Arabidopsis thaliana: one gene and its partner. The protein of the gene in region 1 interacts with the protein of each later gene in a pairwise test. Each region holds a gene or a part of one and is shown in the gene's direction. Other genes may lie near its edges.

What was found.
Region 2: the proteins of CYCP1;1 (region 1) and CDKB1;1 interact in a two-hybrid assay, tested with the Arabidopsis thaliana proteins (one study listed by BioGRID).

The regions. Positions count from the first base shown.
Region 1 is NC_003074.8:23,321,588-23,326,313, reverse strand, and holds CYCP1;1 (cyclin p1;1), read left to right. Parts: upstream 1-2,032; 5' UTR 2,033-2,420; coding exon 2,421-2,821; intron 2,822-2,906; coding exon 2,907-3,171; 3' UTR 3,172-3,955; downstream 3,956-4,726. Other genes in the region: RANGAP1 (RAN GTPase activating protein 1), read right to left, coding at 1-1,206.
Region 2 is NC_003074.8:20,057,644-20,062,164, forward strand, and holds CDKB1;1 (cyclin-dependent kinase B1;1), read left to right. Parts: upstream 1-2,027; 5' UTR 2,028-2,238; coding exon 2,239-2,866; intron 2,867-2,960; coding exon 2,961-3,030; intron 3,031-3,233; coding exon 3,234-3,372; intron 3,373-3,514; coding exon 3,515-3,607; 3' UTR 3,608-3,845; downstream 3,846-4,521. Other genes in the region: FIP37 (FKBP12 interacting protein 37), read left to right, coding at 29-106, 227-274, 652-705, 980-1,141, 1,287-1,356, 1,440-1,495, 1,598-1,753; AT3G54190 (Transducin/WD40 repeat-like superfamily protein), read right to left, coding at 4,116-4,357, 4,458-4,521. UniProt on the Arabidopsis thaliana protein: May control G2/M (mitosis) phase progression. Plays a role in regulating seedling growth in darkness via regulation of hypocotyl cell elongation and cotyledon cell development. Plays a role in stomatal development. Required to suppress endoreduplication.

The DNA.
Region 1 (4,726 bases):
GATGCAAGCTGCCAAATTTCCAGTGGATTTTACAGTAATGTCGTTACCAGCCAATTCTAGAACTTCAAGAGAAGGGGCGGACTTAAGTAGAGCTTCAGAAAGTGCCTCTGTTCCCTCATCCTCCAAGTTCAGGTAACTCATATAGATCTCGGTTAAATGAGTCAAGACTGATAAAGTCTTGGCCAGGGCAATTCCACCTTCGACTCCAAACATGTTGTCACGAAGATCAAGTTTCTTCAAGTGGCTACAGTGTTCAAGTGCTTCAGCTAGTGCAACACCACCTTCTGAACCAATCCTTGTAGATGAACACCGGAAATCTTCCAAAGATGGACACTCCCTGACAATCTCTGCAATGGCAGTTGCTCCTTCATCTCCTGTCATGTTGTTATGAAACTGAAGAACCCTGATTTTGTCAGTAGAAGGGAGAAGCTCACGAACTGCACGTGCAGCATCCTCGGAAATGCCATCATTCATCAGATAGAGCTCCTCCAAGTCATGCTGAGAATTGATGAGAGAAGCAAATGCCCTAATTCCCTTTTCTCCCAAAGCATTGTCCGAGAGATTCAGATACCTAAGCTTAGAACCCTCTAAAGCAGATGAAAACATATTCATGACTTCAAGCGCTTCAGCCTCTGGTCTTCCTGCAACAAAATCCGAGAGATCCACTTCCGTCAGCTGATCCTTGATGGAAGACAAAACGCTCGCAGCAAATTTGGCTGCTTCAGACCCAAAACTCCTGTTGCTAAAACGGATTTTGGTATAGGAGTTACGCGGGTCAGCCAGAGGCCTCAAAAGGTCGCGTGCCTCCTCTTCTTCAATAAAAGCTCTGCTCCCACCAGATATATCAAAAAAGACATCACCATCCTTGCTCACCTCAACCTCGGATTCTTCCTGTGGACCACGTTTGATGACATCAAGCATGAGCTTGCTGGATTCTTTAGCATAGACGTGAACAGCAGAAGTGCCATCACCATCAGGCTCGTTCTGGAAGTGTTTGTTGGCAGTAGCAAAGGCCAAATCTTCAATGCGCTTGGCGTCTTGCTCAGCCTCTTCAACAGACAAAAGACCGTACTTCCTGGAGAAGATGGAAGGGGTGGTAATGTTCTTGGTCATCCGCTCAACAAGCATGAGACGGGTACTCTTACTCGGTGGCCACATCTTCACTGACAAAACACGGTTCTGTGTGGTTTTCGCTGAATGATCCATTCTACTACTGCTTGGTTTTCTTCTGTAATTCAATACAAGGACAACCATTACTCAATCTGACATAGTATTCCAAGGAAAAAGAGAGAGCATAACATGTAGATCCAATCGAAAACGAAGATGGTGTCGAAGAATCTAACTACATTTCTATTGTAAATCCATTAATTAAAAACTGCATTTTTTAGACAAGGAAACCCTCAAAATCACACTGCAAACGAGAAGAATATATTTCGAAACAAAAAGAAACCCAGAAACATGAGAGAACAATACGACGGTACCTTTTTTTTCTCAGCGGATGGATCGAAGAAATGGGTCTCTCTATACTCTCTCGGACGGAGAAAAAGAAAGGAATAGAAAAGTGAATTCAAAGAAGAAGCGTGAATGAGAAGCAGAGTGAGAGAATCATTGATCTGCGTGCGTGACGATAATGGGAGGCAATGATGCTTTAGTTTATTTTTGAAAATCAAATTTCAAAAATCAAAAAGACAAACATCGGAGAGCCCATCCATGGAGATTAGGGTTTATTCTATCTCCGAAATGACGATTAAGCCCCTACACAACCCTAACCACGAAAGCCCAAAGCCCATTAATAACTAATTTAGAAAGCCCAGTCTTCTTCTTGCTAAAAATTAATAATGGAAAAAAGACAGGGCAGCGCAGCGATGATTAAGGTGACACGGTGGGCTCCCACCACCGCCAGCTGGACTCGCCGACGGTGAACTGTCTCTCTCTACCACACATCACTCCTTCCTTCTGTCCTTTCTTTTTTGTATTTATTATTATTATTCATTTTAAAATCAAAAACCCTTAAATTATTAAATAAAATAAAATAAAAGGCAATAATGGAAACTTTCCTTCTTCTTCACAATTCTTCGCGGCTTCTTTTAGCTTCTAAGCTTCAGAGCAGCAAAAAAAAAACAATGGAGAAGCGCCGGAGATAGATCTGCTTTCTTCCATTCTCCGGACCTTCTCTAGTTCACGAACCAACTTCTTCCACTTTATTCTCGTAAGCTTCTTCCACTTTATTCCTAATTCTTGACTCTCAAGATTCTTGGTACTTGGTAGGTAGGGAGACATATAGAGAGGGTTTAGGTTCTTGATTAGGAATTAGTTCACCTGCTTGAAATTTACTCTACATACGTCTTCTATTTCAAAACCCTATTCAAAGTTACCATTTTTATGCACATCATCATCTTCATTGCAGATTCGTTGGAGAAATGGACTCTCTCGCAACCGATCCAGCTTTCATTGATTCGGATGTATACCTCAGGTTAGGACTTATTATTGAGGGCAAACGATTGAAAAAGCCACCGACTGTTCTCTCACGCCTCTCTTCTTCTCTGGAGAGATCTCTGTTACTCAATCATGATGACAAGATTCTGCTTGGATCGCCAGACTCTGTTACCGTGTTTGACGGGAGATCTCCCCCTGAGATCAGTATTGCACACTACTTGGATCGCATTTTCAAGTACTCTTGCTGCAGTCCCTCCTGCTTCGTCATTGCGCATATCTACATTGATCACTTTCTCCATAAGACCCGAGCCCTTCTCAAACCCCTTAATGTCCACCGCCTTATCATTACAACTGTCATGTTAGCTGCTAAAGTCTTCGATGATAGGTATGTTACTCACTAAACCTGGTATCAAATTCAACACGCAAATAAGTCTTCAATCATAGATTCATTGATCTCTGGTGTTGTGCAGGTATTTCAACAATGCATACTACGCAAGAGTGGGAGGTGTGACTACGAGAGAGTTAAACAGATTGGAGATGGAGTTGTTGTTTACCCTTGACTTCAAGCTTCAGGTAGATCCTCAGACGTTTCACACACACTGTTGTCAGTTAGAAAAGCAGAACAGAGACGGCTTCCAGATCGAGTGGCCCATAAAAGAAGCATGCCGAGCCAACAAAGAGACTTGGCAGAAGAGGACACCCGACTCACTCTGCTCTCAAACCACAGCACGCTGATCGGCAAGGGTAAGATAGGATTATTTTGTGTTTTAGTAGTGATGATTCTTTTGCATGATTGATTGTTTGTGACAATTGTGTGTAGTAGAAAATCTGAAAATTTCTACCAACTCATTCTTTAAGAAGTTGCTATAATATAGTTTCCTTGATACTGGTTAAACTACTAAATAGATCTCTACTTTACATCAAACCGCAACTATTCCATCTGCTGCTGCATTTCACATTAGCGACAGGAGGCTCTGCTGCTTTGCCATTACAAGGAGTATCGTTAATCTTGGGCGGTGGTTAAGCAGCAGTAGCAGGAGCCTCAACATTACCACAAGCACCTGAACCACCACCGCCATTGCTATTCTTAGGGTCAGAGGACGGTGGTGCGATTGGAGATAGTGAGTCCCGTGAGTGGTAGCCCCTGGGATCATCATGTGACTCCTTAAACGTTATACTGATGACCCTCTTGTCGGTAATCTTTCATGTGTTTGATCCCACTAGCGTTTTTGTCAAGCAAGTCCTGTAGGTGTACGGTCTGGTCAAAGGTGCTGACATGGACCTGACGTCGGCAAGTTGATGGCATGGCGAGCGGAGTTGCCATAGAAATGTCATCAGGAGACTCTGGTTCAGGTTCCCACAAAAGCTCGGCTCTTTTGCCGGTTAATATCAGTGTTCACTTCTATCGTCCCTTCGTTTGCATTAACCTTGATGGAATGCACTCCTAATCATAAATCCACCATTGCTAATTATATATATCAGAAACGGTAGTAAATATATGCATAATCAATCACCTTCAACGTTTAGCATGGCTCGTTTCACCTTTCTCGCACATTCGGCACAAGTACAACATTTGGGTTCCAGTTTAAGAACACGAGTCTGCTGTATACAGAAATCAAAACGAGACAAAAACAGATTTACCATATATAAACAAAATATTTGTGATCGGTGTAAAAACATCTCTTGGTCATCATGTAAAATAAGAAACCAACTCGATGGAATGGGGAATGACTTGAAGGAGGATGACACAAAAATATTTTGTATTAAGTTTGACACAAACGTAATAATATTATGTTTTTACATAAAACAAAAATATACTGATCGTGTGCTTAAATCCTAAAGGCGCAGGCTTGGTTTTAATTTTGAATGTTAAAAGAAATCTATTTTCGAAAACTAAAAAAATTTACTTGGAAAAAATGGAATAAAAAGAAAAACATTTAGGTGGTTGGTTAGTTATTAAGGTTTTGGTTTTTCTGGATTCACTAATCTACTTACCTTTGTAGAAAATGCTTGTTTATATGAATAGAGACGTTCGAAGTAGGCATGAAGTTTTTTGTTTGCTTAAAATTTTTAATTTGAGTGAGATAAAACCGTTAAAAGTTTATCCTAAAATTTGATAGCTACGCTAATTTTCCATATGCAAATTCTATTTTGTCGTTATACATAACTCTTTACTTGCAATATACAACAGTTTCCGAAAACAAAAACAAAATCAATGAATGGCCAAATCCCAAACGATTACTGAAAGAGAGGGATAAAAAGAAAGTTAATGCGCAAAGGAATAGGCGTG
Region 2 (4,521 bases), 3.3 Mb from region 1:
GGTTTGGTTGTTGTTTCTCTCTTTTCAGTTAGAAATCGCAAAGAGAAAAGAAGCGTCATGCATTGTACAATATGCGAAACGGGAACAAGAAATGGCAGAATTGAAGGTAATTCTCGAGAAACTCATTGCCTACCACTTTGATTCCTGACTGATGCTATCACATGTTTTCTTGACCATTACATAGAATAGATGTCGCTAAACACAGTCTTGTATTTTGTATTTCTAGTCAGCTGTTCGCGATTTGAAATCTCAACTCAAGCCAGCGTCAATGCAGGTATATAGTTCTCCCAATGTTTTGATTCTGGAATAATTTATACAATTGTGCCAACAATACAAATCGTGAAAAAAGTTAGCTGTTGAAGTAACTTGGACTTTTCTAGGCATAGTCCGCTTTTTATGCCGTAGTGTACCTTTTATGACGGTCATCCTCGACCTTGATGCATGTAGAGGGAAACCTTTTCCTTGCCTTTTAGATTTCAGTCTGAATACGATGATAAGCGCATGTTTCTTGTAAACCTTTACCTGGCATCTGAATTATTAACAAGTCTGAATAGAAGAAATGGCTATAAATTTTGAATTGCAATGGTCATTTAGCAGCTTGTCATGATCAGATAGCAGTGTAGATTATTTATTCTTTGTTTACCTTTGTAGGCGAGGAGGTTGTTACTGGATCCAGCAATTCATGAAGAATTTTCACGTCTGAAGGTCTGCACCTACTCGTTTCTATTTACCCTTAGACTACTTTTTCATAAGGATGTATTTGTCGTAATATATCCTTAGATAATCCAAACTGTATCTACGGAACAAAATTCCGCTTTCGTTATGAATGGCCTGAAAGAATAATTCCTTAATAACTGATAGCTGACACTGTCGTAGTAGATACAGTTGAGGACGAACATTCCCAACTTTTTGTTAATGTACATTTGTTGCAGTTAAGTAAAGAGTAGATGAAGTTTGATTCCATGTTTCTATTATGCAGAATCTAGTAGAGGAAAAAGACAAGAAGATCAAGGAACTCCAGGACAACATTGCAGCAGTTACTTTTACTCCTCAAAGCAAGAATGGAAAGATGCTTATGGCAAAGTGCAGAACCCTGCAAGAGGAAAATGAGGAGATTGGGCACCAAGCTGCCGAAGGAAAGGTATAGTTTGTTCTACTCTCAGTCTTCAATCTGGAATTATATGAATTATATAGTAAAGCAGTAGTCTTCTTCAACCTTTGTAAAACATGATTCCCTGAAAAGGGTAAAGAAATTGATGCTTGCCTATGTTCATGTGGAATGGCAGATTCATGAACTAGCAATAAAGCTTGCAATGCAGAAGTCTCAAAACGCGGAACTTAGAAGTCAATTTGAAGGTAAGTCATATGTTGATATTAAGTTATAGCAAAGATTTTTGTAGAGTTTGCAATTTGGATTTGAGGATTTTTGTGGAATGCAGGACTGTACAAACACATGGAGGAATTAACTAATGATGTTGAGAGATCAAATGAAACGGTGTTGATCCTTTTCTCTTATCTCTTAATTCCTCAAGATTTTTCTTAAAACGGAAGAATGATTATGGTTTTGTTGGAAATATGTGACTTTGATAAATCTCAGGTGATAATATTGCAAGAGAAACTGGAAGAGAAAGAGAAGGAGATAGAGAGAGTAAAGAAAGGACTGGAAATTGTGTCTGAGCTAGTAGGTGACAAGAAAGATGAAGTTGATGAAATTGATGAAGATGCAAAAGAAGAAATTGCTGGTGGAGAATAGGAATTTGTAGCTTTCAAAAAATGTTTTGTACATTTTGAAGTTCAAAATCACATTTCTTCATTCGTTATCTGTTTCATGAAACAGAAAGTTCTAATCTTCATCTTCTATTAATATGTTTTAATTCGCACCATTGGTGTTTCGATATCGATATGTGGCTTCCCGATATAACTCGTGAAGAATTTGAACTCGTCAACTCACGCAAATCATCTGAGTAGATATCAGATTAGACCAAAATAAGTGAGTCCAATTAGTTTTCCCCAAAAACATTCACAGAGGTCACGACTTTAGGTTAATCTGTTGCAGTTGTCACGAACGAATTCAAAATCCAAAGGAGCGGGAAAAACGAAGTGACGTGGAAGTATCTTAGCGAAAGCATCTCTCTCTCTCTCTCTCACAATCCATCATCTTCATTAATCTGATCAAATAATAGGGTTAATCAAAAGTCCAGAAACCAACACAGTTCAATTTTACGAAACCTCTCAGAAATGGAGAAGTACGAGAAGCTAGAGAAGGTCGGAGAAGGAACATACGGGAAAGTCTACAAAGCGATGGAGAAAGGAACTGGTAAGCTTGTTGCTCTGAAGAAAACTCGTCTCGAGATGGACGAAGAAGGTATTCCACCAACTGCTCTTCGTGAGATCTCGCTTCTCCAGATGTTATCAACATCGATCTATGTTGTTCGATTACTCTGCGTCGAACATGTTCATCAACCATCAACCAAATCTCAATCTACCAAATCCAATCTCTATCTCGTTTTCGAGTATCTCGATACTGATCTTAAGAAATTCATCGATTCGTATAGGAAAGGACCTAATCCTAAGCCTCTTGAGCCTTTTTTGATTCAGAAGTTGATGTTTCAGCTTTGTAAAGGTGTTGCGCATTGTCATAGTCATGGTGTGCTTCACCGTGATCTTAAACCGCAGAATCTTCTTCTGGTGAAAGATAAAGAGCTTCTTAAGATTGCTGATTTGGGTCTTGGTCGTGCTTTTACTGTTCCTCTTAAGTCTTATACGCATGAGATTGTTACTCTTTGGTATAGAGCTCCTGAAGTTCTTCTTGGATCTACTCATTATTCAACTGGTGTTGACATGTGGTCTGTTGGTTGTATCTTTGGTTAGTAGTCTCAATTATGCTTTTATGTTTTTGAATTCGTCTCTCTGCGATGTGATTTTGTATTTATGCTGTTTCAATCTTTGAATTTGTATAGCTGAGATGGTTCGGAGGCAAGCTCTTTTCCCTGGTGATTCTGAGTTTCAGCAATTGCTTCATATCTTCAGGTATTTTGAATTTACCTTCCATTACTTCTTCTGGTTTTGTCCTGTTTCAGTGTGAATTGCATCACTGAATGATATGCTAGCTTACCAATTGAGAACAACTGATTCTATATAGTCCAGGTTTCTTTGACCAATTATTCAATGGATTTAGCATTCTTGAATAGAGACTATGATCTTTACTAATGGTTCCTATTTGGTTCATGGAGGTTGCTAGGAACACCAACTGAGCAGCAATGGCCGGGTGTTTCCACACTGCGTGACTGGCATGTTTACCCTAAGTGGGAGCCGCAAGACTTAACTCTTGCTGTTCCTTCTCTTTCACCTCAAGGAGTTGATCTTCTCACGGTAAATAACTCCCTGATGACCATAGCTTTGTTGCAAAGTTGCTCTAATATTGTTACCTCTTGCTTCTGCTTCCCTCTTTTTTTCCTAAGCTGAATTGCTTGGTTAAATCTTTCTGATTGAGCTTATGTTTGTACAATTGCAGAAAATGCTCAAGTACAATCCAGCCGAAAGAATTTCAGCAAAAACAGCACTTGATCACCCATATTTTGACAGCCTTGACAAGTCTCAGTTCTGAAGTTCATTGCTGTATCTGTTGTCATCGTCTTGGTGAATTTAAACATTTGATCTATCTTTGTTTCCGACACATTAGTGTCTTATGTTTGGTTTAGAGATTTGTAGTCTTTCAGAAGAAACTGGTAAAGCTTGTATTCTCAAGTGAATGTAAAACACAATGGTGTGGTAGCAATGAGATGATTTTCTATCAATCGCTTGTTTTTGTGTAATCATACAAAGTTGATGCTCAACTATCTGAATCAAGTCAATTTTGAAAATTAAAGTGAGACCTTACAGGTGGAATAAAGGGTCTTTCATAGAATTGTCAAAACCCAAATGTTACGTACAATGGTATTAGTGTACACAACTGGCATTCTGACGCGCACACTTGCCCACAAATGGTTTACAACACAGATGGCTGCTCAAAGACACTAAGTTAAAAAGATTTATCGCTACACACAATTGAAGGAAACCAAATGATACATTCGTAGTAGTAGTAGTAGCAGCTAACGATGACGATGTATGTGAAATCAATTGGACCACACATGAACAAGGCCGTGTCTGTTTCCTGTGTATATCTCATTGCGTTCTTCGTCGTAGAAAAGAGCGGTTATGTCTTCCAAAGCTTCAGCTACAGCGTTTCTTCTTTGCTTTGAGTTCTTTCCCATACAATTACTGCTGCTGCTCTCATCATCTTTTGGAGGCCCACTGCTTGGTGTTATTTTAGCTAAGCATTTCCCAGTCAATATATTGCTGATATTGATTGATCCCGCTGGATCATCCCACAAAACACCAATAATCAATATCCATCAATGAGATTTGTTAGGTTATAATATCTGGTTAATATTATCTTGAGGGGTTATTTTTCTTACCATTTCCTTCTATCCACTGATCTTCGGTATCTGCTTTGCAGTACGAGATGATCAGATCTTGATC